4 linked regions of the Caenorhabditis elegans genome follow. The protein of the gene in region 4 interacts with the protein of the main gene of each other region in a pairwise test. Each region holds a gene or a part of one and is shown on either strand. Other genes may lie near its edges. The genes, in order: asp-6, mdf-1, hum-6 and ubc-1.

Region 1 (6,543 bases), on a different chromosome or scaffold from region 4:
ACTTAAAAAAATTTTTTACATTTTTTTTAAACTTTAAAACTCTTCAACACACGTATTTTTATTTAAAAAAAATCACAATCATTTTGGAGCAGGTTGCAAAGATGGAGCAAATCCCATTCGGAAGTTTCCAATATCATAAATGTTACAATATTGCCTGATAAACGGGTCTCCAAGAATCCAGGAAGGTCCAAAACCTCCAAAATCCATTGGGAAGAGAGCCATCACACACGTTCCATCGCCAACATCCGCAATATAATTGTAGTGTTCGATTTGATAATCATGGCCACCAATTGTAACTTCAAGTGGTCCAGGAGTAGCATCACAATCGATTACGTACGCTTCTCCAAGGATATAGTACTGTAACATTTTAGAGTGGAAATTAATTTTACATGTTTATTTGGTTTTTGAATGGGAAGAGTTAGTTTTACAACCGGCTTCAAAAAAGTTGAAGTTATAACGAGCGACTCCATTACTGTTAATATGAAATAAAATTTCAGTCGAAACAAAAAATATTCATAGTTATAAATTAAGGTGAAGATAAGATGAGATCTTATCAGGTTTTTATCTGATAAAAACTTACGGTAGCGCCAGCCTGCTTTGCAATTTCATTAATAACTACACTGGGACCACCCAAGAAAGAAGTTCCAGTATCCGAAATCACGTCAACAACTTTTGCATTCAAATATTTTCCCAGTCGGAATCGATTTGCCTTGAACTGAAAATAAGTGGCAGATGACAATGGCTGATATCCAATCACTGGTTCACAATTAGTAGTGTCTACTGCTCCATATGTGAACACTCCTCCTCCAACATTTGTCAATGTTCCTCTATGTTCCAAGAATACACTGAACAATGGTTGATCAAGAATTCCTTGTTTAATAGCATTGATAAGTGGTGGAACTACGCCATCAACAGCCAATGTAGTGAATGCAAGACCGAATATTCCATCGGTGGCGTCGTTTTTTAAATCTGCTGAAACTTGGTTTGCAATTCCGAATGTCGTTTTTGGGATTGCTAACTGATTTTCTCCGGTCGCTCCAATCTACAAAATTTTAATTGAAAGTAAGAATAATTGTTTAAAAATTATACCTTCACAATATCTTGTCAAATTTGTGTTTCGACTCACAATTTGCTCTAAAAGTTAAGTGTAAAAGTTCACTTTTAAATTTCATTCTTACTTGCATGATGTCCCTGGAATCCAAAGATTCGCGGAACCTGTGTCAAGGACAACAATAAAGCTCTGATCAGGAGTTCCAATAGTGATGTTTCCAAGATATTCAAAATCGGCAAAGTCATTGACCTAAATTAGTGTATGTGTTTATGAGAAAAATATCAAATAAAAGTTATTTTTGAAAGTTGGCTAGTTTCTATTTAAAAATTGTGAAACTTGCATAGAACAGGTTATCAGTACAAGTTTTAGATTATTTTAAAATTTGGATACGTTAAAAAAAACTTACATTCTGTGGCAAACTCTGTAGCTGCCAAGGATTACGGTTTCTTTGTCTCTCGAGATGTTTCTTATATGTTGCCCATTCTCCACTTCTCAGCATCTCGATCCTTTTTGATGGTTTCCATAATATTTTACTTTGATGTACTAATCCAGAAACAAAAACAAATAAACTTATAATTAAAATTATTGATCGCATTTTTCAAAAAGTGATCAATTTCCCCCTTTTCAATTCTGGTTTTAAGCTTTTTTTCATTTTCTTGCATCATCAAACGGCGGACTCGTTAATTTCGCTGATAACACAAGTAAACTGATAAGAGGAATGAAACATCGTGATTAAAATTCAATGCAATTCATTTCTGCAGAAAAATTGTTTAAATATTAGTTGTTTCAATTGTTTTATTATTGAAAAAGTATAAGTACATAAATAGTAATATATATTTACTTTTGGAGAGATGGAGCGAATCCCATTCTCTTGTTTCCAATATCGTAAATGTTGCAGTATTGACGAATGAATGGATCTCCAAGAATCCATGATGGTCCGAATCCTCCGAAATCGAATGGGAAGGCAGCGAAAAGGCATTGACCGTTTCCGGCATCAACGATGTAGTTGACTGGCTGGATGGAATAAGTGTTGGTTCCAATGGTAATATCAAGAGTTCCTGGCTGGGCAGCGCAGTCGATGAAGTAGACCTCGTTAAAGTCATCATAAGTGGCTCCAGCGGCCTTGGCGAGTCCGTCAACAACAGATTGTGGTCCTCCGAGGAAGGAAGTTCCGGTGTCAGAGATAACATCAACGGTCTTGGTGTTTGAGTATGATCCGAGTTTGAATCCGGCAGCCTTGAATTGATAGTAGGTGGCAGAGGAAAGTGGTTGGTAGGCAACAAGGGCTCCGCAGTTGGTGGTGTCAATGGCTCCGTAGGTGAAGACTCCTCCTCCAACATTGTTGGCGGCTCCTCTGTGCTCAAGCCAGACTGAGAAGAGTGGCTGGTCAAGGATTCCTTGGTTGATGGCGTTGATGAGTGGTGGGACAACTCCGTCGACGGCAAGGGAGGTGAAAGCAAGTCCGAGAATTCCGTCGGTGGCGTCATTCTTGAAGTCAGCGGAAATCTTGCTGGCAATTCCGAAGGTGGTGGTTGGAACAGACAATTGGGAGTCTCCCTTAGCTCCGAACTGAAAATCAATTTGATAAGGACTGATTTTTTGTAAAATTCACTTTGCCAGCTAATTTATATCAAGATTACACAACGCACACATTAATGCATTGAAGATAAACTTACTCTAACGGTATCTTGTCCGAGGATTCCGGCGGCATCTCCTGATCCGTATTGGATGGTCCAGGACTTTCCGTTCTTAACGAAGGTGCTGGAGGCAGTGGAATCGAACTTGCTCTTGGTCTTGCAGTTGGTCCTTCAAATAATCTTTTTAAATATTTCAGAACTGAAATCTACTCACTTGCAGGTTGGTCCTGGAATCCAGAGGTTAGAGGATCCGGTATCCAAAACAACGATGAATCCTTGATCTGGGGTTCCGATGGTGATGTTTCCGAGGTACTCGAAATCTCCAAAGTCATTGACATTTTGTGGGAGATTAGCAAGAACATTTGGGGACACAGCTCTGAGATTTCTCTGGTATTCAAGGTAAGCTGGATATTGTCCAGTACGGATCATTCCCATCTTCTTGGATTCCCTCCATACGATCTTGTGTTGATGGACTGAAGCCGATGCAAGGCCAAGAACGGCCAGAAGGATGAAGGTCTTCATACCTGAAAATAAATATTTCAGAAAAATATTCTAAATGGAAATGAAATTGAAAGTGTAGATAAACGAGTGAAATAATTTTCAATTTCAAGAGCAAAAATTGAAGTAGAAAATGTCAGATAGTGCTATGTTTTATACTTGTTGAGAAAACTCATGGGCGCACTGACGTAAGTTTAATTGGTTGATAAGAACCGCCTTCTTATTTGGTTTGTACCCGATCGGTGCGATTCTTATCACTAAAAAATGAAGTTTAGTGAAGAGAGTAGTGCCGATGATTCCGGCTTCTGGAAGTAACGACTGAAAACTGACGAAACAGCTTTTATGAGCTAATAAAACTCGAGTATTAACTGAATCAAAAGTGCGTAAAGTTCCGTGAACGGTACCCGGAGATGGATGACATTTGAGTCAAGTGCTGATAGGTCAATACCAGGTACACACGTAGGTTTACTGGCTAAATCCGGAGTAATACGTGATGAATTACGTAAGCGATAGGAAAGTATACAGTTTGAGCATGGCTAAAACTTGAACAGACAGAGTCCAAAGGATGATATAATGAATGACGAGAGCCTTATTTAAGGCATCACTGTAAGATTTTCCAACAATTCAATTTGCTCTGTATTATAGTTTTCAACATTATACAGTTTTTGAATTGAATAAACTTTTTGAGTTGGAAGGTTCTTAACGGCACTTTCTATCTCATCTTACTTCACAGTTAGTAAAATAGTTACAATAGTGCCCATTATTTGAATTTTATTTGAAAATTATGTCCATTTCCAATTGTTCCACAGCATTTTTTTTTGCAAAACTCCATATTTATATGTAGATAAACTTTTTGCCAGAAAACTTGCCAGGGAATAGTTAAGGATGAATTTTCAGCCTATCTTCCTAAAGACCCCAAATATAAAATTTTTGGTGGATTGCAGAGAAAGCTAGGCATGGTTTCAAGTTTTACAGTTCACCCTTTTGAATTGGAAATCCAATTAATACTGTACGCTTGTTTTGCAAGTGTACCCAAATGACATCACTATTTTCTGCAGTTTTTTTTCCGGCTCTGTATTATTTTGGCAGTCAACATGATAGCTTTATTGACATTTCTTTAAATCAAACGTTTTCCTCAATCATTTCCGCTGTTTTACTTCTCAACCTGTGACAGTACAAACATCTTGATCATCACGTGCCCAATAGCCAGGCATGTTGACTATGAGCCGGAACTTTTCTAGATAAGCTTCTTACGAATCTAGATACGTATTCTGATTTATTATCAATAATTTATCGCATCAGATCAAGAAAGTGAGAGTTCTTGCGTCAGATTGAAAGAATAATGGCCAAAGTTTCCAAACTTTGCACGGACATTCTAGTTTGCAAAGTTATGAGCTGAAGAACGAAAAATATTAGGTTTCTATGGTATTTAATCTTAAACGCATAAATTTTAGGAAGAAAGAACCATTTTAGTTCTTGAATACTTGTATTACACTTTCAAATACCCATATTTCAAGCATAATAGGACTACTGAACTTTTTATCGTACCGGGCATTCACACAGTCTCGCACAAAAGTCAACCTAAATGATATTGTATTTCAAACAGTTGTTCGTTGAAAAACTAGTAGAATCAAGAAACAAACATGATTTCAACCAAAATTAATGAAACCTCTTTTATTTCAAAACACAACACGCACTGAAAACATCGAAATATTCAATAAATCTTTTCAGAAATGAAGACAACTCTTCTCGCTTTTGTAGCCATTCTTGGCATGTGCTCGGCAACTGTGGTTCAGCATAAATTGATCTATCGGGAATCGCCAAAGATGCAAATGATGAGGCGAGGAGAATGGGGAGCATACGTTCAACACAAGGCTGCCCTACGTGACGCCAATCCAGCTGTGTTCGCCAGTGCTCCACAAAATGTCAATGATTTTGGAGATGTTGAATACCTAGGAAATATCACGATTGGAACTCCTCCACAACAGTTTATTGTCGTCTTGGATACTGGTTCTGCGAATCTCTGGGTTCCAGGAAGTAACTGCGAGTCAGTAGCCACCTTACACAATGGTTTTTAAATTTTTATCATTTTCAGTGGAACATGCAAAGGAAAGAGCGAGTTTGACTCATCTAAATCTACAACATTCAAGAAAAACGGACAATCATGGCAAATTCAATACGAATCTGGAAGCGCTAAGGGAATCATGGGAGTAGATACTGTTGCTTTTGGTGGTGCTTCAGAACAACAACTTCTTGTCCCATCTACCACTTTCGGTATTGCCTCTCACATTTCGTCTAACTTTAAGAATGTAAGATCTATTTCCCAGATTATTTGATTCTTCATCGGAACGAAACTTTCAGGACGCTGCTGAAGGAATTCTCGGGCTTGCCTTCACATCTCTTGCAGTCGACGGAGTTACCCCACCACTGATCAACGCCATCAACAAGAAAATTCTCGATCAACCTCTGTTCACAGTCTTTTTAGAACATAAGGGAACGGCAAAGAATGTTGGAGGAGGTGTCTTCACCTACGGAGCCGTTGACACTACCAACTGCGGACCAGTGATTGCCTATCAACCACTTTCATCTGCCACGTATTATCAGTTTGTTGCTGATGGATTTAAGCTCGGATCATACTCAAACAATAAGAAATCTCAAGTGATTTCCGACACTGGAAGTTCGCTCATCGGAGGACCAAGTGCTGTGATAAATGGCTTCGCTCAAGCTTTGGGAGCAAAAGTGAGTATCAGTTTAATTTTGACTCGTTGTGAGGGACAAACAGTTTTTTTAATCTTTATATCTAAACCTTTTCCAGTACCACAGCGATGATGATGCTTACTACCTCCCATGCTCAACATCTAAGGGAACTTTGGACATTACTATCGGAGGAAATGTGTATTCTATTGAACCTGTCAACTATATCCTTGATGTTGGAATGGGTGACACTTGTGTCTTTGCTGCTTTCTCATTCGATTTCGGAGGATTCGGACCATCATGGATTTTCGGAGATCCTTTCATCCGTCAATACTGCAACATCTATGACATCGGACAACAGCGCATTGGTTTTGCCAAGTCTCTCCAGCCTTCTTCAAAATAAACTCTATGCAATGCGATTGTGAGAAATGAAAATGAATACTTCAATTTACTTTTCTTCAGTGTGTGATCTACGTGATTATGGTCAAAAGTCCAACTTATACATATCGTCATGTACACCTTATTTCTTTTTTCATTTTCTGGACAATTTTGTGAAGTGAAAACCCACGTCACAGACCGTTATCTGATTGAGTATAAATGATAAGAAATCATTGTCAACTCAAATAAAATAGGAATTTGTTAACTTGTAGTACGAATTCTCCT
Region 2 (7,787 bases), on a different chromosome or scaffold from region 4:
TCGTTTGTTGCCGAAATCCAATAATTGCTGTAGTACCCATAAAACGAACAATCGATGCTGGTACTGTCATTGTCTGCATTTAAAAATGTTTAAAATGTCCTGTCCAAGGATATCTCTGACACTCAAAAAAGGTAGATAGTGGTTTCTACACACGAAGTCTCTAGAAATCTCACATTCTGCATGATAAAATAATTTATTATTCATTAAACAGGATGCGTATAAGACACCGGTCTAGATAGGTCTATGTACAATTCGATGGGAAATGTTTTTAAATATAGAAAAGCAGGAATGTATTCGATTTACAGCGTGTCTCTCTCGAGAAGCTGATCAAGAGCAAATCCAATGGCATAGTAAGTAGTTGGTGGTCCTATATTGTGTTGTCGGTACAGAGACGGCAAATCCGCAAAAGAAACACGAAGTTCTTCAATGTCTTCATCTTCTTCCTTCTCACAAAGTCGTGCTTTACTAACATCCACGGCAAAAATAGATTGGGTGTCTCCAGATTGACCGATTCCCGGAATACACTTTGCTTGGAGTTTAAACGAATCTTCTGGAAGATCGTAGCCAAGTTGCTTCACTGAGATTCGAGCGAATTTTCGAGGATCGTCGAAATCCGGAACACGGTTAACAACGAGTTCAAGCTGGAAAATTACATATAATATTGTGGGAAATACAGCATTCTAGACTTACAGTGTATGCAATTTTAGGATCGGAATTCGAGAAATCAATCTCATCCAGAGGCTTTCCAATGTTTTCTTTCAAAAAACGATTTTTTCCAACAAACACCGCTGTAAACTTACATTTCATTAAAGTTCGATTTAAAAATTACTTACGTGCACGGAGTTTCTGCAAGAAAATCAATTCTTTCTTCACCATATCTACAAGAATACATGTAGCTGTGTTTGGACATAAGGCTAAATCCCAGTTGCGGGTTATTCCATTCTACAAGAGATTCTCATTTATACATATAATTTAAGAACTTTACTTCAACTCACAATTGTGAAAATCATTCTCTTTGGATTATAACCATACTTCTTTTTGTCAAAATCAGTGTTGAATTTTACGTTCGAAATGGTTTTTACATTGTGCGGCTGCCATTGATATCCAGTTGGTGGAGTTGCGATGAGCCCTTTCTGTAAAAATTTTAAATGATTGTCGTAAACACACGTTTTTTAAGAAGGGTTTTTCCAGTCTTCAAAAGTTAAATAAAAATATGCTTTTATTCACCTTTTTTGGATCCAAAACCAAAAACCACCATTGAAAAGCAAAAAGAACGCCTGGAGGTCCTTTCACTTCTGCATGTGTTCCAATAGCAGGGCGTGCAATTTCACGTGCAACGTTGACAGGGTAATAAACTTTAGTAATTACTTCTCCCTCATGAACATTTCCACCTCCTTCGCTGATTTTCATGGATTCGTCGATTTCCGCGTAATATAAATGTTGAGCACTTCCAGATTGATGAGCACCCACAACAAATGTTATTACATGAATTAGATCATCAGGATCCACACGATATCCACATTCTTCAGCAACTTCTTCTGATGCAATTTCTCTAGGAGATAATCCTTCCTTGTCAATTAGTCCAGCACAAAGTTCAATGGTGTAGCCAGTTTCAGAATCATAGCTGCTCCAGTCAATTTTATCAAATTCTTTACCGTGATTCTCCGGCGAATTTGAAATTGATGCGGTGAAGATTGCTAAAAAACAACTTAACGCTCACATTTCAATAGAATAAAATTGGAAACCTGGTCGAAATTGACGAACTAGAAGAAATTGCTCTAAATCTCTATGAAATAGAAGAATGGATACACTGCTCATTTTTTGATTGAATTCACTAACACGTGAATTTCCATCCAATGTGTAAGACATCTCCATTCCTTTCTGATATTTTGATACAAAATCAGTCACAAAAGAGACATCACTAATTTTTGACGCTGTCATCTGAAAATATATTTTCTTATATCATTTAATTGCGGTATCATTCAAACTCGTTTTAGAAAAATACAGGATGTTCAAAAACCAATTTTCCTATTTTCATAATGGTATTTCTCCTATATACGAGCAGATAAACTTTAGATTGTACGAAACAATATACCATAGTAAACATTGAATTGGAAAGAAAATATAACGTTCATTGTGTGATTAATTTTGATCACTACACGTTTTAGATTAAAAAATAAATAAATAAAATGGAATGAAACATCAAATATTCAGGTAACAGTGTATTTAACAGCTTCTCCTTTGAAGAAAAATAATTGAGATCTAGATAGCTCAATGATTTAGTCCTCGTGTAAGACACTGAATGTATGTGTTCTCTCATGCATCGTCTCGTCAAAATCTCGATCCTGTTCCAGCTGAAGAGTCATTGCTGCTAAGAAAGCCGGAATCGAATTTCGGTCGCCAATGTACCTGAAAAAACATATTTTAAGAAGATGCCTCACAACAACGGGGAGTATTTATACTTCTAATAGTAAGTAACCAGAAAATTAACAAACTTTTTCATAAGTGGCTCCCACTTTCGAAGCATTTCAGTAGTTGATTCACAGCTGACATCAAGCATATCGATGCGAGGAGTTCCATAGAAATACTTAAACACGAACTGCTGAGCGGAACCACCTTCATATTCGCTTTGTACAGTGCATATTCCTTCGTCTGCATCTTTCAGTTTGATTTGGAGACCGGTCAGAGCAATACAAACTTGCCGGAACTTCGACGAGAGTTCCTTATGAAGATTGTAACTACTTTCGAGTACTTTTTTCTCACTTTCGCAGTCGTAAAGACGCTTCTCCAATTCAGCAAACTCTTGCTCTCTCCATTGATCACCAGCTGGAGCATCTGTCAACTTTCTTTTCCTACTTTCAGACGCTTGGAATTCATTGTGAGCATCTTGGAGTGGATTAGAAGCCATATGGAAAATCTGTGTACTATTTCCGGCATCGGTTGGAGCAGGTAAAGATGCCGGTTCTGAAGCTGGGACAGTTAAAGTCATGCTGAGAACTTCATCGAGCTGAGATTGAGATTCTTCCAACTGTTTCTTGACCTTCTCCAATTCATTGTTGCTCAACTCTAACTGTTCAGAGAGCCGGCTTTTCTCATTTTCAAGGTCTTGGCTTCTGACTCTCTCGCTCGAAAAAGCATCCTCAAGTCGTTCGTTGCGACGAGCACAGTCTGTGCTTTCTCGCATAACTTTCGTCATTCTGGAAGTAGCTGCTTCAAAATCTTTTTCGAGCTGATTGTTCTTCGTAATGAGCTGAGTGATTCTGTCAATGAGCTGCAGTTGCTTAGCGGAATTGTCTGAACTCGAAGGAATTTTCTCGTCTATATTGAACAAGTTCCCTGCTTGGCCAATCCGAATAGCTTCAATCTCACTCTAAAATAAATTAAACGTGAAATTAGTTTAACAATAATTATTCACTCACAAATGTGCTGTCCAACTGCTTATGGAGAGCTTTCTTCTCAAACTCTAAAGTACGATTACGTTCTTCGAAAATCATCGACCTTTCAGCACGCCCACTCGAGACATTCAAACGATCTTTGAGAACACTGTTTTCCAGTAGTAATCGCTGAATTTTCTCATCTTTCTCGTAATCAATAAGTGATCGATTGGCAATGCAGCCATCAGTCATCATTGTTTGATCTTCTGGCATTATGGTGTTATTTGAATCCTCGAGAAGTGTGAAATTGGATTCTGAAAATACGAATATATTTGCCTGCAAACAAAAGTTTGAAAATTCCGGACTTACGAGGTAGAGTAAAGTTAGCAGCCGATTGATCAGCACGAGCGATTTCTCTTTCCGTTTCAGGAGATGGTGGTCTACGGGTAGCAAATGAAACACCTTCATATTCTAGCAGACTTCCTGAACCAAGTTCTTCTACTGTTTCATCATCATAATCGAATTGTTCAAGAGCCCTGTACATCTGTCTTGGAACTGCATTCAATCGTGTAACTTCTTCGTCGTTTTCAAACTTTCCGTCGTTGTCTATGTACAATTTCACAGATTCCAGCTGAGTATTCGCCATTGAGTACCAAGTGTAGTATTTTTTGCCGAATGCTGTCCAAATATCAACGTTTCGATTACACTCTGCGATGGTGTCATCTCGTTCTTGCTTCAGAAGTTCGACTTGCTCTTGCAGCTCCAACATTTTCTCACGATTCGTCTCCAGATCAATGGTTTTTTCAGCCAACTTCGCTTGATTCGTTTGCATCATTTGTTTCATACGTTCGTGATCTTCACGGAGTGTTACCAATTGACGCTGTGCCGACTCTTTTTCTTTTTTTGCACTTGCCAATTCGATTGGAGCCACTAAATAAAATATTTTAAACATTTTTAATAAATGGATTAAGTTAATTTACCAGGTGAGAGTGTCATATCGAAATTGATTTTTCTGGCCTCCACCGGCGCATGTCGACGAAATGTTGCCTGCTTCAGCTTTTTTTCTGTCTCTGCTTTCAACGGAAACTCTCTTTTGAACTGTTTTTTGATTTCTTCAGCGAACAACATTGTAGCTTCCGACTCTTCATATTCGTCTTCATCGACAATGTCTTCATCGTAATTCATGTCTGAAAAAAATCAGTTACATAATGTATTACAGTGAGCGATTCGAATTTTGAGATAGAGATTAATAATATGTTTAATGCAATCAAGGGAAGTCAAACAAATCCATTCGCACAAAAACAGTTTATCGAATGTCACCAAACAAACTGCGAAGAAATCTTAAAAATAACGTCTTCCCGCCCACTTGCAAGGGCGCGGCATTATGCAATGCTGCCGCACACTTTTCCCAGCAATTCTTCAGCCTCATTTTTTATTATTATTTGGTCATTCGGAAACATGTTCGGACACAAGAACATGCAAAAATAGGAAAATATGATCTTGCGAATAGTTTTTTTTTCAAAAATCCGAATTTTGGGAAGTTTCTTACCTGGAAAAATTGTATTTAAAACAAATTCTTATTTTCATTTTAAAAAATAATTTACTGATAACTGCAAAGTATATGAATTTATTTCATTTACAATTCAGCCGAGTAAACAATACATTCAGATGACATATAAATTAACGGGGCGGAGTATCTTTAGTTGCAATATTCATCTGTGACACTGCTTATTCTTTGTCTCCTGCAGTCTTCTTTGGGAGAAGCACGGCTTGGATGTTTGGAAGAACTCCTCCTTGGGCGATGGTGACTCCAGCCAACAGTTTGTTCAATTCCTCGTCATTACGGACAGCGAGTTGGAGATGTCTTGGTGCAATACGGGTTTTCTTGTTGTCACGGGCAGCGTTTCCAGCCAACTCGAGAACTTCGGCGGCGAGGTACTCCAGAACTGCTGCGAGGTACACCTGGAACATTATGTTTTTAAAAAGTACAAGAGCAAAAGTGATATAATTTGGAAAATGCTAGCAAGTTCAGGTTTGAACGATTTTTTAATCTAGGAAATGCACAAAACACAGCAGCTCTAAAATTCTACATACCGGTGCTCCTGCTCCAACACGTTGTGCGTAGTTTCCTTTACGGAGAATACGATGAAGACGACCAACTGGGAATTGAAGTCCAGCTCTCGACGAACGGGACTTGGCCTTTCCACCGGTCTTAGCTTTTCCTCCCTTTCCACGTCCGGACATCTTTGCTGAAATTAGGTTGAATAACAATGAACTAGAAGTCTAGATGAGCAAATTGGAGGTGAAAGAGAAACAGAAAAGTGGTCTAAGCCGACGAAAATCGATGCAAAATACGCATGCGCACACGCGCCCGCCTCTCTATTTAACTATTTCTCTCGGTGTGGGCGGAGTCTAGTTCCGCGGCAGCGAGAGGTGGGGCCACCGCTGGCGAGTATAAAAGCGCTTCGCAGCGCTCATAGACAACACTCGCCAAACACATCGATTCGTTTCGCATTTTCGTTTCGTGTCTCATTCGATCATGGCCCCACCAAAACCATCAGCTAAAGGAGCCAAAAAGGCTGCTAAGACCGTCAGCAAGCCAAAAGACGGAAAGAAAAGAAAGCATGCTCGTAAGGAATCCTACTCGGTCTACATCTACCGTGTTTTAAAGCAGGTGAGAATATATTCAAATCGAATAAGTTATGATAAAAAAATGTTTTAGCCATTAGCATGTTGTATGTTAAAACTACGTACCACTTAGTACGAACTGCAACGATATAATACCGGTATTTAAAAATCATTTAAATTAGTCTTGGGGGATCATAGAAATCAAAATAATATTAAGTAGTTATTCTGTCAAATCAAAAATATTATTAAATAATTTGCAGGTTCACCCAGACACCGGTGTGTCATCCAAGGCTATGTCGATCATGAATTCGTTTGTCAACGATGTCTTCGAGAGAATTGCTTCGGAAGCATCTCGTCTGGCCCACTACAACAAGAGATCCACCATCTCTTCTCGCGAAATCCAAACCGCTGTCCGTCTCATTCTTCCTGGAGAACTTGCAAAGCATGCTGTTTCAGAAGGAACCAAGGCTGTCACCAAGTACACTTCCAGTAAATAATTTATTAATGATTACGATCTCCCATTAACACTCCTATTCCCCAATGTATTTATTCATATGTTCCTGTTTTATACTAAAAACCTAATAAATTGGTATTGGTAAAGTAAACTCGATTTTGGGAAACATGTGCGAGCGTTAGTGACCTCAGACATCTGTCGCTCCGCCCCTCCACCGCATATGGGTATATAATATACACTACGTTGGCATTCATTAGTCAACCAGTCTGCACAACACCAAATCGACGCGCAAAAATGCCAAAGAACACCAAGAAGAGCCAAGGAAACAAGAAATTGGAGATGACCAATAAGCAATTCGATGATTTGCTGAAGGAGGTAAGACCTATTTTATTTTACTTAGAATAGCCTAAACAAAATATCTTTTCAGATGGGAGGTCTCCCAGAGGGAATGAATCTCGATCCAGAGCTTCTCGCAGTTCTTCGTCAAGCAACAAATGCCGAGTTCAACAAGGTGGCCAAGGAGAAGTATGGAGATGTTCCAGAAGGTTCAGATGATGACGAAGAGCAGCAAACTTCGGAGCAGAATAAGGAGCAGCAGCAGTCATCCAGTTCGAAGAGTACTTAGTTGTGTTCTTCGTTTTCGAAAATTTCTAAATTCTCAAACCGATTCTTATTTTCAAGATCTCTTATTTTTACATCAATAAAACCATTTTGCTCAAAAATATGATATTTATTCTTCACCGTCTTTCCGAACACTACGAATTTCAAGGAAAACCCTTGGAGGACTGTTATTTCTGCTGCACAACCTTTCCCGCGTCATCGAATCCGCAAACACGCCACCAAGTTTTTGACGTATTTTTCGTTTCTGTGACGCTTTTCTGACATGTGTCCCCGCAGGGTGGTTCAATCTGACTCCACCCATTTCTGCTGGCGTATAAAAGAACGACGACGAGTGACGTTCAATTCTGTTTTTATCAACTCATTCGCTTTCGTTTTCTAACAACTTTTAATCATGTCTGGACGTGGAAAGGGAGGAAAAGGACTTGGAAAGGGAGGTGCTAAACGGCATCGTAAAGTTCTTCGTGACAACATCCAGGGAATCACAAAGGTTAGTTTTTTGAAAATAAATATATATTTTTAACTTAAAAATATTTTATCTAATTTTCAATATTTACTTTCCAGCCAGCAATTCGCCGTCTCGCTCGTCGTGGTGGAGTCAAACGTATCTCTGGACTTATCTACGAGGAAACTCGTGGAGTTCTGAAGGTCTTCCTTGAAAATGTCATTCGTGATGCTGTCACTTACTGTGAGCACGCCAAAAGAAAGACTGT
Region 3 (7,983 bases), on a different chromosome or scaffold from region 4:
TAGCCACCCCTAGGTACAGGCGTACGAGAGTAGCGCCCTCGTGGAAGGCTTAGAGTAGGTATTGTGGGTATTTTGCTTAATTATACTGAAACTTTCTTAAAGCGACCAAACTTCGTGATGGGACTTCTCAAAACATTTCGAAAAATGTTTTATGGTGGGTCAAAATTTCCAAAAAAAAAAGAGCTGAATTTTCCTAATGAAACTGGGATTTTGAACTAGTTTTAGTATATTACGGGACCATGAGGTCATGAGAATGCCTCTTTACTGGCGCGAAAATATTTGCAGGCCGCGGCAGCAAGATAACATGTGGCGAAGAGAGACGCAGGTCCCTTCGCTACGTGATATTTGCCGCCAGAAAAGTAGACATTCTCATGATATCGTGGTTCCATAAAATTCATACAATGTACCCACAATCTATACTCCTCACATAAATTGCCTAAACTCACTAATTCCTCATGTGAATCCGAAATAACTGAAGCAGTGGATGAAACTTCTGTGAGTGGTGCTTTCTCGCCTCGTTTTCGCTTTTCTCCAACCTGACGACGTACTAGAGACCCGCGGCATACAGCCTAAAATTGACAATAGTGTAAGTTCCTATGATTATTATCTAACTTGAAATTGGATGATTGTCTTTCGTAGAGTTTGATAATGTGACACCAATTGTCTCGAACGCAAAACAGCCTGAAGGCGTGAGAAACCGGAAATAATCTGACGATATCTTTTCCTTTGGTCAAAACCTCTCCATGCAGTTTGAATGGTGACAGCAGCTTGTCTTTGCTTCTCAAAGTCTTTTCTCACTAACCATCTCCTGACATTTTTCTGAATAACAATTGCCTTATCCTTCAATATGCGGTAGTACTCTTGCTCCAGAACCAAGTCGTGTTTATCTTTCAGAAAGACTTTAGTTTTTCCAAGTTGATAGTCAGCATTTGTTCCAAGAATCATGTGGCAAATTTTTTTGGCTGCATCGTGCAAATCGATCCTGTTCACTGGTCCCTGGATGGAAGAAACTAAGACACGATAACGGAAGACAAATGGATAGTAGTCATGACGAATCGGATAACCACTCCTTCTGATTTTGATAGTCTCCATCATTCCGGAATAGCGAAGCTGTCTTAATACAAGATCTCTATCCATCACAAGTGCTCTCTTCATCTCATTCGGCTTGATGCATCTGATGAAAAATGGATGTGTTTGAGTCAACTGGGACATAAGTTGCTCCAACGATCTTCGGAATTGATTTCCGACGGTCACCTTCTTTCTGGAGCTTGTGTCGTATTCTATGTCGTCGAATAATCGAGCAAGGAATGGCATTTTTGATGAGGAAATGAGCACGGACAAGTCGGCTGAAAAGGAATCTCGATTCTTTTCGAGGAAACCTCGTGTGTTGTAAAACACATTTCCAGCAAAATGAGTGACTCCAAATGCTCTCTGAAGCTCAGATTTTGGCTGCAAATAGAGCTCGTTTCTGCCATGTGTTGAATGAAGTTTGAGCAGCATTGTCTTATCAGTTCCTTTTGGGAAAATACTTTCCTCATCAATAAGAGACAAAATATTCAACGGTCTCTGAGCAATCAAATCGACTGTAGCCTGATTATCGACAAATTTTATGTGACGCCAGTTAATGTGCTCCTGCAATGTTGAATAAATTTTATTTTTCAGATTGAAATATGAAAACTACCTCATCATACTCCTTCTGCTCCATCTTAAACACATGGTGAACAAAGAATTGTTGTAATGTCTCATTTGCAAAGTTAATGCAAAGTTGCTCAAAACTATTACTTTCAAAATTTTCAAACCCAAAGATATCAAGAATTCCGATAGATGTTCTTCTTGACTGCGACGGTCTTAAAAATAAATTTCAAAATATTTTTTAAACTAACCTAACTCACTTGTAAATTGCATCGTTCACTCTTCTAACGATATGAATGAATAATTTTCCATAAATTGCCTTCGCAAGGGCATCTCTTGCATCGACGGCTTGTTGACCATTCAATCTAGAGATCACTCGTTCTTCGCGCGTTACTAAGCTTTTAGTAGTAATTGCGTCAAGAAGATTTTGCTCGTGGAGTTGCAAAAGTTTTGCAATTCTGACAAGAGTTGATGGATCGGCTACATCAACTGATTCCATGTTGTCATTCGTATTCTGTCGGAATCTGATGTTTCCAATATGAAGAAGAGATGCCAAAAGTTTGAAGATACTTCCAATTTCTTGCTCGTTGATCATGAGAACTCGCATTGCGGATCGGATTTCAGCCAAATCGGCAGCATCATCACGGCCTTCTGCTGTCAGTGTTTTTCCCTAAAGTTCAATTGATGTCGACGAGTCAACCTTTATAAAGCTTACTTGAATCAAATAATAATAATCAGCAGCTGTTCCTAATTCTAGCTCCGACTTTTCTTCTCTGGACAGTCCTGCCAACAAACAATAAAATATATGGTAATTTCTCTCATTCTCTGATTGAGTAACAATTCTCGATTTCTCCAACAAATATTGTTCAATTTTCGCTCCTAAAACAATACATCTCAATATGTTCCCACTTGTCAATCAAACCTTCAATAGATCCACTCTCGTTAAAATGTACATCAATGTATTTTCCAAATCGAGACGAGTTATCATTGCGGATGGTCTTCGCATTACCAAATGCTTCGAGAACCGGATTTGCTTCTAGGACTTGCTGTTCGATCCAGCTGTGTTGTCCACTGATTGTTGCCAAAAACTGGAGGACCAGTTTTGTGGATTCAGTTTTTCCTGCACCAGATTCGCCACTGAAAAAGAAAATTGCTCAAAATTTTCGTTTTTTTATTTACTATGTAGTCTGGAACTCCAAAAAAAAATTTGTTGTTGTAGTTTAGTTTAAAGATGAGAGTGTTTGCTTTAAAAAGTAAAAAAAAACAATGTTTTCAAATTTTGAGCGCTTTTAGATGGTAAAAGTGTGATTTTGGCGTGAAAAGTAACTGAAAATTGCAGAAAATTCAGAATTTTCAAGATAAAAATTGGCTGAGAGTTTTCGGAGTTTTCAAGTGGAAATACTTCAGGTTTTAAGTTCTAAAGTTTATGGAAAATATTTTTTGGGTGGAAATTGTTGGAAAATGGCTGAAAAAATTAGAATTTTATTGGTTAAACTTGAAAATTTTAAAGTAAAACTTGGGACTTTTAATAAGAAAACTTGACAATTTTTCAGAAAATTTAGATTTTAGTTACGAAGTAAAAATTCTAATTGTTATGCTACTGGAGAGGCTTTTTCTGTTTTTTTTTTAAATAATTTTTGTGAAAAAATGCTCCTTGTCTAAAAAACGAACCTGATAATGACAGATTGATTTTTCTTTTCCCTCCTCATATTTGTATACGCATTATCAGCAATTGCAAAAATGTGGGGTGGAAGCTCTCCGATTCGTTTCCTTTTGTACATCCGAATCTCATCAGCTGTATAGATAGCAATGTCCATATATGGATTTACTGCTATCAAAATTGAACCAGTATAGGCCTAAAATTGTCTAACTAACTTTTTGCGATATTTCTTTAATTGCTTACATAAATAAGTTTTTCTCTGTATCTGATAAATAAATTTCTCAAAATCGCACTCTCATGAAAATCGCCCAGCTGACACATGTCTTCCACACCCTGAACTGATGTCGGATGCATCAGCCTGACCCGTCGATCCGCCGATAGCCATTGTTCCTGAATTGTACTTTTACATTCTCTCCCTCAACAAAAATTGCAACACGACCACCGCGCAACTTATCAAATGCGTGATAAAATGTTAATGTTAAAGAGATGCCCGCAGTGATGCGAAAGTAGGAAACGGATTGAGGTCAATGTTGCGGTATCAGTGAAAAATGTTCAAAACAGTGGTGTCAAAACGTACATTTCCAAGATCGTCAATCACTTTCAAACGTCCATGGTCTTGGTCGATGACGCGTGCTCCAATTGGAATCGATCCCTCTGTTTTTCCGGGCTCAATCCAGATGAAGTCACCCTGAGAAAATATACTACGTAATACAAGCGGCTGAGCAAATAATATTGGATGGTTACCTTGCTTACTAATACCATTGTTGTTGATTTACAAAGTCATTGGAGCACAGATTATCTGAAAAAACTGATTTTCGTTAAGGAATATCTTTTATAAAATTCAAAACGATTCAAGTTTCAAAGATTCAAAGAAAAATTAACCAATAAAAACGTGTGCTTTCAAATACTTGAAGGCGGAGTACCGAAATCTGAGACTTTGCCTTTTTAGACCCAAAATGACCCAACAATTTTTTTTTGATTTTATCTGAAAATGAGCTTTTTTTGCAGAACTTTGAACAGCCGTAATTTTTTTTTGAGAAATTTTCAAAACGTCTCATTACGAAACTCGGTTGTTTTGGGTCGTTTTAGGTTTAAAAAAACAAAGTCTCAGATTTCGGCACTCCACTTTTAAAATGGTTCGAAGTCAAGAAAACATCATAATTTTAGCTAAAATCTCAAAATTGTGCAAATTTACCGTGTCAATTTCCGGCTGCTGAGAAGCAAAAATGCTGGGGAAACTGGAGATTTTAGATGCATTTAAGTGAATATTTTTGAAGTATTGAACCGCCATAAAATTATTAAAAACATTTATTGGAAAGTTTTGTTATGAAAGTCTGTTTTTGAGCCATTTTGAATCTAACAAAGCAAAAAAAACTAAAAAATTCAGACAAATTATAATCATGCTCTAAAAGTTTTCTTCTACTTATACTAGTATGATATTAAATTCACAAAAAAAGTCAAGAATTACCTATGTATATAGAAGTAATAAAAACGGCAGGCAAATGAAATTTGAAATTTAAATCAAAACCTTGAACAAGATAGAAAGAAAGATAAGAAACGCTTCAAATGAGTACAGCGCTACAAAAAGAACATATGGTATTCAGTAAAAGTTGGGAGCTACATAGCTGAGCAAATGTACTCAAAACAGTCATGAACACGAGTTTATACACAAAATATGCATAGGTTCAATAAGCCGAAAGTACACAGAAACCCGCAGGTTTTCCGAATAAAGACGTTCGCCGTCTGTGTTCGGATTTTCTTTCTCTTTTACACATTCTTATTTGTTGACAAATGTATTGGCTGGGGAGAGAGAGGGGGCCCGGGGTCTGCAAGTGATGAGTCCGAGCGACTTTTGGGGGGGGGGGGGGGGGGGGGGGGTTTGAGAGAGAAACACTGTGATATTTGACCACGGTTAATCCGAAATGCGCGGACTATCTCTCCGTCATCTTCCGCACTGTTTCTAACAGCCGCTCCTCCGGCCGCAATTGTCTTCGGTCAAATTAGCTAGCCAATACTATTTTCTCATTTTCTTTCTCTCTTTATCGCCTTCCAAATAAATGAGGTCATCTTTAGAGAGGATTACATAAAATTCTAATTACTCAGATTTTTAAGATTTTCAAAAGTTCATTACAATAAGGGATATCACATTCACATTGCAATATGTCAAATTAAAAAAAAAACTGAAGTGCTGAAATTTTATCAGCCCCATTGCTTCAGTTAATTGTACTAAAAAAACCCGATGAATTGACAAAAAAAAATACACGACAGCAAGCCCAGCTGGAACGGGGAACAAAAGCACAGAGAGAGAGCTTTTTGAAATAAACAACAAATATTTGCATTTCTTATGTATAGATGGACAGTCAAAATTGAGGTCACTCAAAGAAATGAGATAAGCTTGGGCAACAGCGGCCTAACAACTAGTATCCCTATATGAGACCGGGAAATGTATGACTACACCAACTACTTGTTTCGATGCAAATTGCATTCTTCTTGTAATGTTTCTCATTCTTAGCAGATATCAGGAAAGGAATGAGGATGATAATGGAATTAGTTTTTGATGGGGGGAGATGTGATCGAATGAAAGTGATAGTTAGAAAAGAGTGAATGAGGGAAAATCACTGGATGAATGCAATTGAATAGGGAAGATACTCTCACGGCACTTCATAAATCAGCTTGAAGCATCATTTGCCCAACTATAGAATATTCATCTTTATTATTAGCAACATATAATTAAGACACATTTTTTGGCAAACGTACTCATATGAAATGTCACAGTAGATGCTCCAAATTGGAAATTAGAACGTGATTTTTTTTAGACAAGTACAACTTATGGGGATAATATAAATTAATGTTTTATTGATATGAAATGAAAAATAGCTGCGGTGTTGAGTTTGTAAAAATTTTAATCCAAAATTTTTTAAAGATCCTATTTTTTCCCTTTAGGAGTTCGTTATGGTTTTTGTTCAAAAATTTGTTCTGAGATCATTTGATTCGCAAAGAAGCTTTAATTAGACTTCAAGAATGTTTTTGCTAAAAGCTATGCCACAAGGTGAGGTTAGTTTTTGCCACTTTTTTGGAAGTCGTCGATCATAGAAAAGTATTCCGTTGAGTTTTGGGGTCTACATACGTTTCGAATATTAATATACAAAACTTTAATTTTAAATATTGTAGGCATTGAAACATGTTACAGTGCTGTAGTTTTTTTCCCAAAAATTGACAAAAACTCTGTAATTGCCACTGTCAATAAAAGTTTTTCAAACGTTTTTTTTGAAAAGTTTTACTATGACTTTGGCCATTTTGGCACCGCTACTACACCTATAAATACCGTTTTTTCTGTTGGAAATATAGCTGCAATACTAATTTTCAGATCATTTTTTTGAGCTGGGGCTTACTAGTTTGTACTTGAAAGATTTCCAGTTTTATTTGGAAATTTAGAAAATTTACTTATAGCTGCAACAAAAATGTTCATGAATAACTTCAGTTTCATAGAAATTTTGTGAAAAATTGTTGCAAAACTGGCAAAAAAATGTTGTCAAAATCTTAAAATTAGTGAGGCTGGTTTGCACCAAAAAAATAGACGCAGGACTGTTAGGGAGTGCAATACTAATAGGAAGTGCAAATCTAATAGGGAGACCATACTGATAGAAGAAATACGGTATATCAAAAACTTTGCGTGCAATATCATTGAATACAGCATGCAACATTTCAGCAAAAACTTTTTGACTAAATTATGGTTTTGAAAAAAAATTAATTCAAAAAACGTTTTTCCGCATTCCATGTCGAGACGGCTAGGGGGTATGACATAACGATACTCCAAAAAACGTGTTATCTCCACTTGAGTTTTTAGGAGTGAAAATAAGAAAAACATTGATGAAGCGGAGAAGGTGGGAGGAAGCAAATATTGTTCAGCAAAAAAGAGGAGATGCAGAATAAGCGAAACAGTTGTTTAACGCCATAAGTGGACACTACGGAGGCCAAAAGACACAACGACTGTGGAAGAGCCTAGCCGATCCATTGTTTCGCCACCGGTGCGCGGCTTTGTGCACTTGGCCCTGGCGCTGGATTTTGACAAAAAGCAACAAGATGATCGATCATGAAGTGGAATTGTGGTGGGGGTGGTCGTTTGGCGAGTATAGTTGAAGCTTTCGTAGTCGGAAGAGTAATTGGATAGGTAATCGGATATGGTCCTTATTATATATGTTTGCCAGATTAAGAAGTCTCGAGACTAAGTGAAATTTTCTGGAAGAATGGAGAAAGGGAAGCAGTGATCAGCTGCTAAAATGGAGCAAAGCTGATAATATGGAAATTTAAAAAAAAAACACCTAAAATAATCTTTACAAAGTTGTAAGTTCCAAACAAAAAAATTGCACAATGTCTTGAAAACTCTATCCGCCAGATAGAACACTTCGAAATGGGAACGGAAGCTGGTCAATGTAATGCAGTCATCATGCGCACGGTCTGCGTGTCCGCGCGTTTTCGGCTCACTCACGGCTTTCCGGACAGCTCGCGCGAAACCGCGCACAGAGCGAAAACCCAAGACGACGGCAAGCCGGGGAAAACGACAAAAATAGCTCTCATATGGATGACGGTGCACAGGAGCAATTGTATTTGCTCTGGATTTTTGTCATTTCGGACCAGTCAAACTTTTTTTTGCTGGGAGAAACGCAGGGTTAAAAGGAAAATGTCTAGAT
Region 4 (8,379 bases):
TTTATTTTGGAGTTACGAGGTACAAATGGAGTCATGAGAAACTATGAATTTAGTCTTCAAATTTGTAGATCACATATCGAGGGAATTTTAGAAAAGAACCATAAATCTAGTGGGTACTTCAAAAAATTCCAAAAAGTCTATTTTTTTTCAATAAAAACTAAAATTTAAAAAATATTCTACAGATACCGGGAATCGAACCCGCGGCCTTCTGCGTCATAGATAGAATTTCAAATAGTTTTGAAAAACTGAAGGTTTTAAATAATTTTTTTTTGCAATTTTTTCAAAAAAAAAAAAAATTAATTCTCCCTACATTTTGTACTTTAAAATCCAACATTTTGGAGCTTACAAGCTCCCCGCGTGGGATCCGGAGATTAAGAATTCAAAATTCTGCATTTCTACAAAAAATATTTGTTTTTTGATTCTGGATTACGGAAATAAGTCTTGAAACTTCTTTTTTTCCGCCACTCAATCGTCCAGTAGCCCCCATAATCTAGTGGGTACTTCAAAAATGTTGTAAAAATTCAAAAATTGAGTTTTTCTTACCAGAAACTGAACATGAAAAATCTCTGCACCTACCGGGAGTTGAACCCGCGACCTTTTGCGCCATAGATAACCCTGTTACCGATTGCGCCACCGTGTCTCAAATTTTTCAAAAAATGCTTCAATCGACGCAGAATTTTACGGTGAAAATTTTTGCAATTGACAACTTTTTTCTAGCTTTCACCGTTAAATAGTTATAAGGGTTTAAAGTTTGGCTTGAGAGAAGGGAGAGACGCAGACAACGAGACAGTCTGCGTCTCTCTCAGCCTCTATCTCTCTCGTAAGCCCAAGCTTTGAAAGCGTGTAACTCTGCAACTAGGCTTGCTATCAGAAAATTTTTAACTATAGAAATGTGTAGAACGTTTAGCTGAATAATTTTGTAATGAGAAACTTTTTGATAGCTCCGCTGGTTTTGAAGTTATAAGCGGAAAAATTTTACAAAACACTAGAACTAAAACTAAAAACTTCACATAATTAAATTTCCAGCATCTGAAAAAATTTCAGATTACCTCTTAAATACACGACGGTTGTGTTGTTGTCACTCTCCCCCTGGCCGCTCGTTTTATTTTTTGTATTCGACCTCCTGCTCTCGTATACGAGAACAATGTGATTTTCTTAAGATGGAACACGTCGGAAAACAAATGAGCAAATATTTTTCTTGGACTATGAGAATATATCGGAGTAATGAATTCGTACTCGCGCGCGTTTTTGCAGTCGGGGGAAAACATGGGTTTTGGTGGAAAACTCGAAATTCGTTAGAGCTATCAAAAACTTGCTAACTGCAAAGCTGTTCAGCTTAAAATATTAGATACTTTTATAGTTGGGAGTTTTTTGATAGCTAATCTAGTTTCAGAGTTAAGCGCCTTCAAAGTTTGAACCTACGAGAGAGAGAGAGACCCAGACTGTCTCGTTGTCTGCGTCTCCCCCTTTCTCACACTAAACTTTAAACCCTCATAACTATTGAACGGTGAAAGCTTGGAAAAAGTTGTCAACTACAAAAATGATCAGCGTGAAATTCTGCGTCGATTGAACTATTTTGTGGAAAATTTGAGAAACTTTCGAAAAATGAGTGTCGCGGTGGCTCAGTCGGTAAGAGAGTTGGTTGGGGTGCAGAAGGCCGCGGGTTCGATTCCCGCTAGCTGCAGACTATTTTTATTTTAAGTTTTTGGTAAGAAAAACTTGTTGGAAATGTTAAAAACTTACAATTTTCGAGTTTTTGGACCTTTTTTTGAAGTACCCACTAGATTATGGGGACTACTGTCCCATTATGTTGGTGAAAACAGAAATTTACGTCTTATTTCCGTAATCCAAAATCAAAAACCTTTGAATTTTTGAATTTTTAAAGCTCTGGACCCCTGTGTAGGCTTGTAAGCTCCAAATTTCGGATTTTGGAGCACAAAATTTTGTGAGAATTCAAATTTTTTTGGAAAAAATGCAACTTTTCCAAAAAAAAGTTTGCCATCAAAATTTTTTATTCATTTTTACGTCGAAAAATTGACGAATTGGGATGGGACAGACACAGAGACATAGAGACAGAGAGAAAAAAGGTGCCATTTGAAGAAAAAAAAGACAATTATGGTTGGAAATCAATCAATAAAATCCGAAAAAAATCAATTAATAAACGTGGGAAAACGAAAAAAAAAGAGGATTTTTTGCAAATGATGAAAATTGGGGGAAAAAGTGAAAAATTCGAATTTCCAGCCAAAAAAGGAGCAATATTTTGGTGATTTTTGACGAAAAAAAAACATTGAATTTTCAGACAAAAATTTGAAAGTTAGCTGAGTTAGAATTCCAACTTTTATAATTTTTTGGCTAAAATTTTCCGATTTTCACAATTAAATTTCGAGTATAAAAATGGCGATTTTCAGCAAAAAAAAACTTAAAAACTCTGAAAATTTTGTTGGAATATCGAAATTCAAAATTTCAGAATTTTCATACAAAAACATAGTGAAAATTTGACTTAAAAAATGCCAAATGATTTTTTCGAAAATTCACAAATTTTTCAGCTATTTGGTCGAAATTTTCAGATTTTCACAAATTTTGGGTCTAAAAATATCAATTTTTAGCCATTTTTCACTAAAAAAGGCCGAAAATCCGCAAAATTTAGCTGTTTTTCAGTCAAAAATCGTGATTTTTTCTTGAAATTTCACAATTTTTTCAGTTTTTAAGGTCAAAAATTTCCGATTTTCAGCCAATTTTCACCGGGAAAAAATCCTCATCTATGTAAACAACAAAAGACAGAGAGAGAGAGAGAGAGAGAGAGAGAGAGATGACTGGGGTGTATAAATATATACAAAAAAAAACTACCGTATCTTAAAGTGTTCCGGAAAAAATACAAAAAAAATGAATAAACGAGAAGAAAAAATTTTCAAAGGGATCGATTGTGTTGAGAGAAAAATGTGGGGGGAAATTCAAAAATTTCAAAAAAAAAAAATTGATTTTTTTTCGAAATTTCTTTTACGGGGATGATGGGAAAAGCTTTTGATTTCAGATGATTTTTGGGGGTAGAAAAATTTCAGAAAAATTCCTGAAAATTTAAGCATTCGATCCACTGGCTCCTTCATCCATACGGTCATCGTCTGCATCATTTGCTCCTGGAGCAGCAATTTCTTCAATTTCCACGTCATCCTTGAGCACTGCGTCGCCCTCGTTTTCGCCGAAATTGAGCCAGGACTGGAAAAAATTATAGAATTTTTGGAACTTTTTTTGTGTTTTTTCAGCTTCGTCGAAGCCTAGGCTTCTAGGCCTAGCTTAAGTCCAGGCCAATGACTAAGCCCAAGCCTAAGCCTGAACCTAAGCCAAAAATTTCTAATTTTTAATTTTTAGCCTCAAATTTCGGTTCTTTTTTGCAAAATTCAAAAAAAAAAAAATTATTTTTGCTTGAAATGTCAGCCATTTTCAGCCAAAATTCAGCAATTTTTCGCAAAAAAAATCTCAATTTTGGCATAAAAATTCAGATTTTTCATATTTCGCAAAAAATTTCGCCTATTTTCAGCCGAATTTCAGCCAAACGTTTAATTTTTCTCAAAATTTCAGTTTTGGCATAAAAATTCCAAAATTTTTTAATTTTAACTCAATTTTCATCGATTTTCAGCTAAATTTCCACATTTAGGGTAAAATTTTACGATTTTGAACCACAAAAAGCCAAATTTTGCATACATTAGATGAAAATTTAAGAATTTTCGTATTTCAACTTAAATGTTATCGATTTTCAGCCAAATTTCAATTTTTGGGGTGAAATTTCTCGATTTCGGGTCAAAAACTGCCAAATTTTCAATATTTGAGCTCTAATTTCGCCGATTTTCATCCAAAATTCAGGGTTGTGTACCTGCTCAACAATCTGCTGAACACGTTTCTCATATTCCCGTCGATTTTCTTGATAAAGCTGTGCGGCAAGTGAGTTGGCCGGTGAATTTGGATTGGGCTCGTCGAGCAACGACTGAATCGATGTCAGAATTGCGGCAACATCATACGTCGGAGACCATCGATTCTGTAGAATATCCAGACAAATTGATCCGTCCGCATACACATTTGGATGGAACATTTTGGAAATAAATTTGACGGTTGGCGGTTTATTTGGATATTCTTCAGTAAATTCCAGTGATAATTTGAATGTTCCATCTTCAAACGGGGTTTCTTGTGGTCCAAAAATTATTGCTTCCCATGTGAGAATATTATCTTCTGTTGGTGCACCTGATACTCCTGCTGGTGGATCTTCCTGAAAGATTTGGTCGTTTTTTTGGGGATTTAGAGCGATTTTTTTTGGAAATTAAAAGAAACCTTTCTTTTGGAAAATTTTCAGTTTTTTAGGAATTTTGAGCGATTTTTTTTGGAAATTTTGAGCAATCTTTTAATGATTTTGAGCCGTTTTTTGGTAATTTTAAGTGATTTTTTTTTTGGTAATTTCGACGATTTTTTGGTAATTTTCGACGATTTTTCGGAAATTTTGGGCAATTTTTTTGTGTTTTTCGGCCGTTTTTTGGAAACTTTCGATGATTTTTTGGTAATTTTGAGCGATATTTTTGAAATTTTAGGCGATTTTTCGGAGAATTTCGACGAATTTTTGGAAAATTCGGCAATTTTTTTGGAGGCGATTTTTTGATAATTTTGGCGATTTTTTGGGAACTTTCGATGATTTTTTGGAAATTTTGAGCGATTTTTCAGTAATTTCGACGATTTTTTTTGGTAATTTTTTTTTTTTTTTTGGTAATTTTGAGCAATCTTTTGGATATTTTCGACGATTTTTCGGAAATTTTGGGCATTTTTTTTGTGCTTTTCGACCGTTTTTTGGAAACTTTCGATGATTTTTTGGTAATTTTAAGCGATATTTTTGAAATTTTAGGCGATTTTTCGGAGAATTTCGACGAATTTTTGGAAAATTCGGCAATTTTTTTGGAAAATTCTCGGCGATTTTTTTTTGGAAATTTTCGGCGATTTTTTGGACATTTTCGGCCGTTTTTATGGATATTTTCGGCGATTTTTTGGCAATTTTAATTTTAAAAATTTCACGAGAAATTTATCAAAAATCCCAAAAATATCTAATTTTTTCTGGAAAAAACCAATTTTTGTTGCAAATGTTCTCTAATGTTCAAAGAAAGCCAAATTTTCGGGCCAAAAATTTCAAAACTCACCTGAAGTTTCTTAAAATCTCTCATCAAACGTCTACGGCTGGGCGTCGTCATATTGATAACCTAACTCCTGCAAAAAATGTGAAAATTAGGTTAAAAATTCGAAAAAATGCAGAAAAATGCTAGAACAAGTATGAAAAAAGGTACGGCAACCTTTAAAAAATCAAAAAATTAAAGAAAATATTTTTTAACATTTATTGACAATAATGCAAAAGTTGAGCAATTTGTGTGAGTTGTTGAACTTCTGCCGACGATTCCAGCCAAGCTTCCTGCAAAAATCGAAAAATTAGGTAGAAAATTGGAATTTCCCAAAAAAATTCGTATTTTAGTGCAAATTTGGAATATAATTTCCGTAAAAATTGGAAACTTTCGAAAATGTTTCGTAAAAAATTCAGTTTATGTTAAATGAAAATGCTGGAAAATTGCCAAAAATGTCAAATTTTTCTTTGAAAATTTGAATTTTTTGGAATTTTTCATTGAAATTCGATTTTCTAACTGAAAATTAGAAAATTTTGGTTCAAATCGAACTTTTTTAGTGAAAAAAAAAATTTTAATGAATTTTTAATGAAATTTGATTTTTTTAGTGGAAATTTCTAAATTTTAATTTAAAAATTTCTAAAAAAAAATCAATTTTCCAAAAATTTAAAATTTTACAAAAAAACGTGAAATTCTCAGTAAAATTCAAATTTTCGGTGAATTTTTGATTTTTATCTTTTTTTTTTTTTTGGAATTTCAATTTTCTCACTGAAAATGTCAATTTTTTGGTAAATTTGAAAAATTTGAAGTTTTCGGTGAAAATTTTGAGTTTAAACTGGAATTTTAGGTTTTCCGGAAAATTCGAAATGATTAACTGAAAACTTTCAAAAAATCAAAATTTTGAGTAAAAAAGTCCAATTTTTCTGGAAAAATGCAAATTTTATAATATTTTTCAGAAAAATTCAAATTTAAAGCCGAAATTTTCCAATTTTTCAGTACAAAATATTCAACTTAGGCTCAATTTTTTTCACGATTTTAAGGTAAAAATTCTGATTTACTTAATTATCAGCTATAAAAAAATCAATTTCGACTAAAAAAATCCGTACTTTTTTACAAATTTGATCAATTCGATGTATTCTTTGTAGTAATTCCATTAATCTTTCCGAATTAATTTTCTTTTTTCTTTCCATATTTTCAACCATTTCTCGCATTTCTGGACTAATATCATCGTCGAACATCACATCTCCGGAAACTCTGAAAAATTTTGAAATTGATAGATTTCTTAGAGAGAAGTTTTTGGGAATTTTTATGGATTTTATAGAAAATTTGAGATTTTTGAAAAATCCCTAAAAATTAATTTAAATATTTCAGAAAAAAAAACTATTTTCTTAATTTTTTGGAAAACTCATTACTTCTTAAATAATTTACAGATTTTGTTTTAATTTTTGATATTTTTCTGAAACTTTTTGGCATTAAAAATTTCTTTAAAGTGATTTTTTTTTCAGATTTTTGTGTAAATTCATTTTTCAAAAATTTTAGACATTTTTTCCGGATTTTTTTCTTTTTAATTAATTTTTCTGAACTTTTCCGAAGTTTTTTTTTCGGAATTTTAATTTTCAGAATTTTAACCTCAAAAAATCCACATTTTTCCTGAAAATTCAAATTTTCAAAAAAAAAAAAAAACTAACAATTCAACTTCTTCACCAACACGTTGACCATCTGGAAGCTTCTGCCTATCCGGTTGCTCAATCTGCAAATTTTTACAGTTTTTTGATGGAAAAGCTTCGAAAATTGGCTTTTCTGAGCAGAATTTGGATAATTTTTTCGATTTTTGATGTAAAATTGAAATTTCGCGGTTTTTTTTATGGAAAAACACAAATTTTCTCAATTTGAAGACATTTTTTCATGGAAAATCTTGAAAATTGCAGAATTTGGGTCAATTTTTCAGTGTTTTTTCTACTTATCCTTCGAAATTTCGCAAATTTTCCAGATTTCCTCCACTCACAAACGTCGGATGCGGAGCATTTCTGTAGGAATACGATATTACTGCCAAATCTCGATTATGAAGTTGCTCAGCGACTTCTGGCGGGCATAGTGGCAAAATTTTGAGCAAATAAATTTTCCGCACAAATCCAAACGACTGGCTGTACTTTTGGCCATTGTAACGGCGGCAGATTATCTGGAAAATATTGATTTTTGGAATTTTCAGTTGAAAATTCGGATTCAGTATAGTTTAAATAGTTTACGAGTTAATTTTCAGCTCAAAATCTCGAATATTCGTGAAATTTGGTGTGTGGTCTGCAATCACTCGGTGTTTGCGTACTCTTGGAGCTACAGTAACCCGAGAAATTTGAAAATCAAGCTAGCGACTTCTAGTTTCCGTCAAAAACTTCGAAATTGAAGGGAAAATCTGAATTTGCAGTCGAAAATTCGAAAATGCTGATTTGAAGTTAACTTGTCAGAGATTTTTCGGCGGAAAAGCTGTGAAATCACATTTTTCCAAATTTTCAGTTGAAAATTCAGATTCAGTATAGTTTAAATAGTTTACGAGTTAATTTTCAGCTCAAAATCTCGAATATTCGTGAAATTTGGTGTGTGGTCTGCAACTACACGGTGTTTGCGTACTCTTGGAGCTACAGTAACCTGAATAATCTCAAAATTGAGCTAGGAGCCTCTAGTTTTTAAAATCCAATTTTTAGCAATACTATGGCTAAAAATTAAGGAAAATGCTCCCAATACAATTTTCCGATAATTTTTGTCACGGAATTCGGGTTCAGCACTGTTTGATTAGACATAGGGCTAATTTTCAGCTCAAAATCTCGAATTTTCGTGAATTTGGTGTTTTTCCCACAACCACTCGATGTTTGCGTACTCTTGGAGCTACAGTAACCGGAAATTTTTCGAAAATGAAGCTAGCAACTTCTAGTTTCCGTTAAATTGCCAAAATCGAACAGAGATTCCAATTTTGAGTTGAAAATTCGATTTTCTAGGAAAAAAGTTGGGAAAAAAGGCAGAAAAATAGATTTTAAAGAGAGAGAAAACTCGTTATTTTCTTCCATTTTTTTCCCAAAATATTTTTCAGGTCAAAAACAAAAAACACCATGACTTGTTCACGTGATACACAAAACAGCAACTGGCAGCGGTGAGAGATGATTCGGAAGGAAGAAAAAAGTGTAAAGTTCTGAAGATGAAGCAGCAGCAGATGTTATTGTTTTTATTGAAAAATCGGTAAATA

The links.
Region 1: the proteins of ubc-1 (region 4) and asp-6 interact in a two-hybrid assay, tested with the Caenorhabditis elegans proteins (2 studies listed by BioGRID).
Region 2: the proteins of ubc-1 (region 4) and mdf-1 interact in a two-hybrid assay, tested with the Caenorhabditis elegans proteins (2 studies listed by BioGRID).
Region 3: the proteins of ubc-1 (region 4) and hum-6 interact in a two-hybrid assay, tested with the Caenorhabditis elegans proteins (2 studies listed by BioGRID).

The regions. Positions count from the first base shown.
Region 1 is NC_003283.11:8,265,726-8,272,268, forward strand, and holds asp-6 (Aspartic protease 6), read right to left. Parts: upstream 3,213-6,543; 5' UTR 3,211-3,212; coding exon 2,903-3,210; intron 2,858-2,902; coding exon 2,728-2,857; intron 2,621-2,727; coding exon 1,889-2,620; 3' UTR 1,786-1,888; downstream 1-1,785. Other genes in the region: asp-12 (Peptidase A1 domain-containing protein), read left to right, coding at 4,920-5,233, 5,282-5,495, 5,548-5,925, 6,002-6,283. UniProt on the Caenorhabditis elegans protein: Aspartic protease.
Region 2 is NC_003283.11:9,539,666-9,547,452, forward strand, and holds mdf-1 (uncharacterized protein), read right to left. Parts: upstream 4,562-7,787; 5' UTR 4,560-4,561; coding exon 4,355-4,559; intron 4,305-4,354; coding exon 3,744-4,304; intron 3,689-3,743; coding exon 3,420-3,688; intron 3,371-3,419; coding exon 2,496-3,370; intron 2,410-2,495; coding exon 2,280-2,409; 3' UTR 2,117-2,279; downstream 1-2,116. Other genes in the region: C50F4.12 (Transcription termination factor 3, mitochondrial), read right to left, coding at 1-70; C50F4.16 (Uridine diphosphate glucose pyrophosphatase NUDT14), read right to left, coding at 300-641, 691-788, 834-942, 996-1,133, 1,228-1,697, 1,746-1,941; his-35 (Histone H2A), read right to left, coding at 5,103-5,336, 5,469-5,618; his-41 (putative histone H2B 3), read left to right, coding at 5,914-6,048, 6,263-6,499; C50F4.6 (Cold-shock protein), read left to right, coding at 6,751-6,831, 6,884-7,081; his-37 (Histone H4), read left to right, coding at 7,469-7,564, 7,639-7,787.
Region 3 is NC_003284.9:2,299,192-2,307,174, reverse strand, and holds the start of hum-6 (Unconventional myosin heavy chain 6), read right to left. Parts: upstream 4,094-7,983; 5' UTR 4,055-4,093; coding exon 4,037-4,054; intron 3,981-4,036; coding exon 3,870-3,980; intron 3,683-3,869; coding exon 3,536-3,682; intron 3,489-3,535; coding exon 3,304-3,488; intron 2,770-3,303; coding exon 2,555-2,769; intron 2,512-2,554; coding exon 2,348-2,511; intron 2,303-2,347; coding exon 1,893-2,302; intron 1,848-1,892; coding exon 1,682-1,847; intron 1,633-1,681; coding exon 613-1,632; intron 570-612; coding exon 447-569; intron 1-446. UniProt on the Caenorhabditis elegans protein: Myosins are actin-based motor molecules with ATPase activity. Unconventional myosins serve in intracellular movements. Their highly divergent tails are presumed to bind to membranous compartments, which would be moved relative to actin filaments.
Region 4 is NC_003282.8:4,099,879-4,108,257, reverse strand, and holds ubc-1 (Ubiquitin-conjugating enzyme E2 1), read right to left. Parts: upstream 5,239-8,379; 5' UTR 5,223-5,238; coding exon 5,172-5,222; intron 4,259-5,171; coding exon 3,869-4,258; intron 3,214-3,868; coding exon 3,076-3,213; 3' UTR 1,995-3,075; downstream 1-1,994. Other genes in the region: C35B1.2 (SWIM-type domain-containing protein), read right to left, coding at 5,363-5,437, 6,251-6,398, 6,833-6,894, 7,150-7,323. UniProt on the Caenorhabditis elegans protein: Catalyzes the covalent attachment of ubiquitin to other proteins.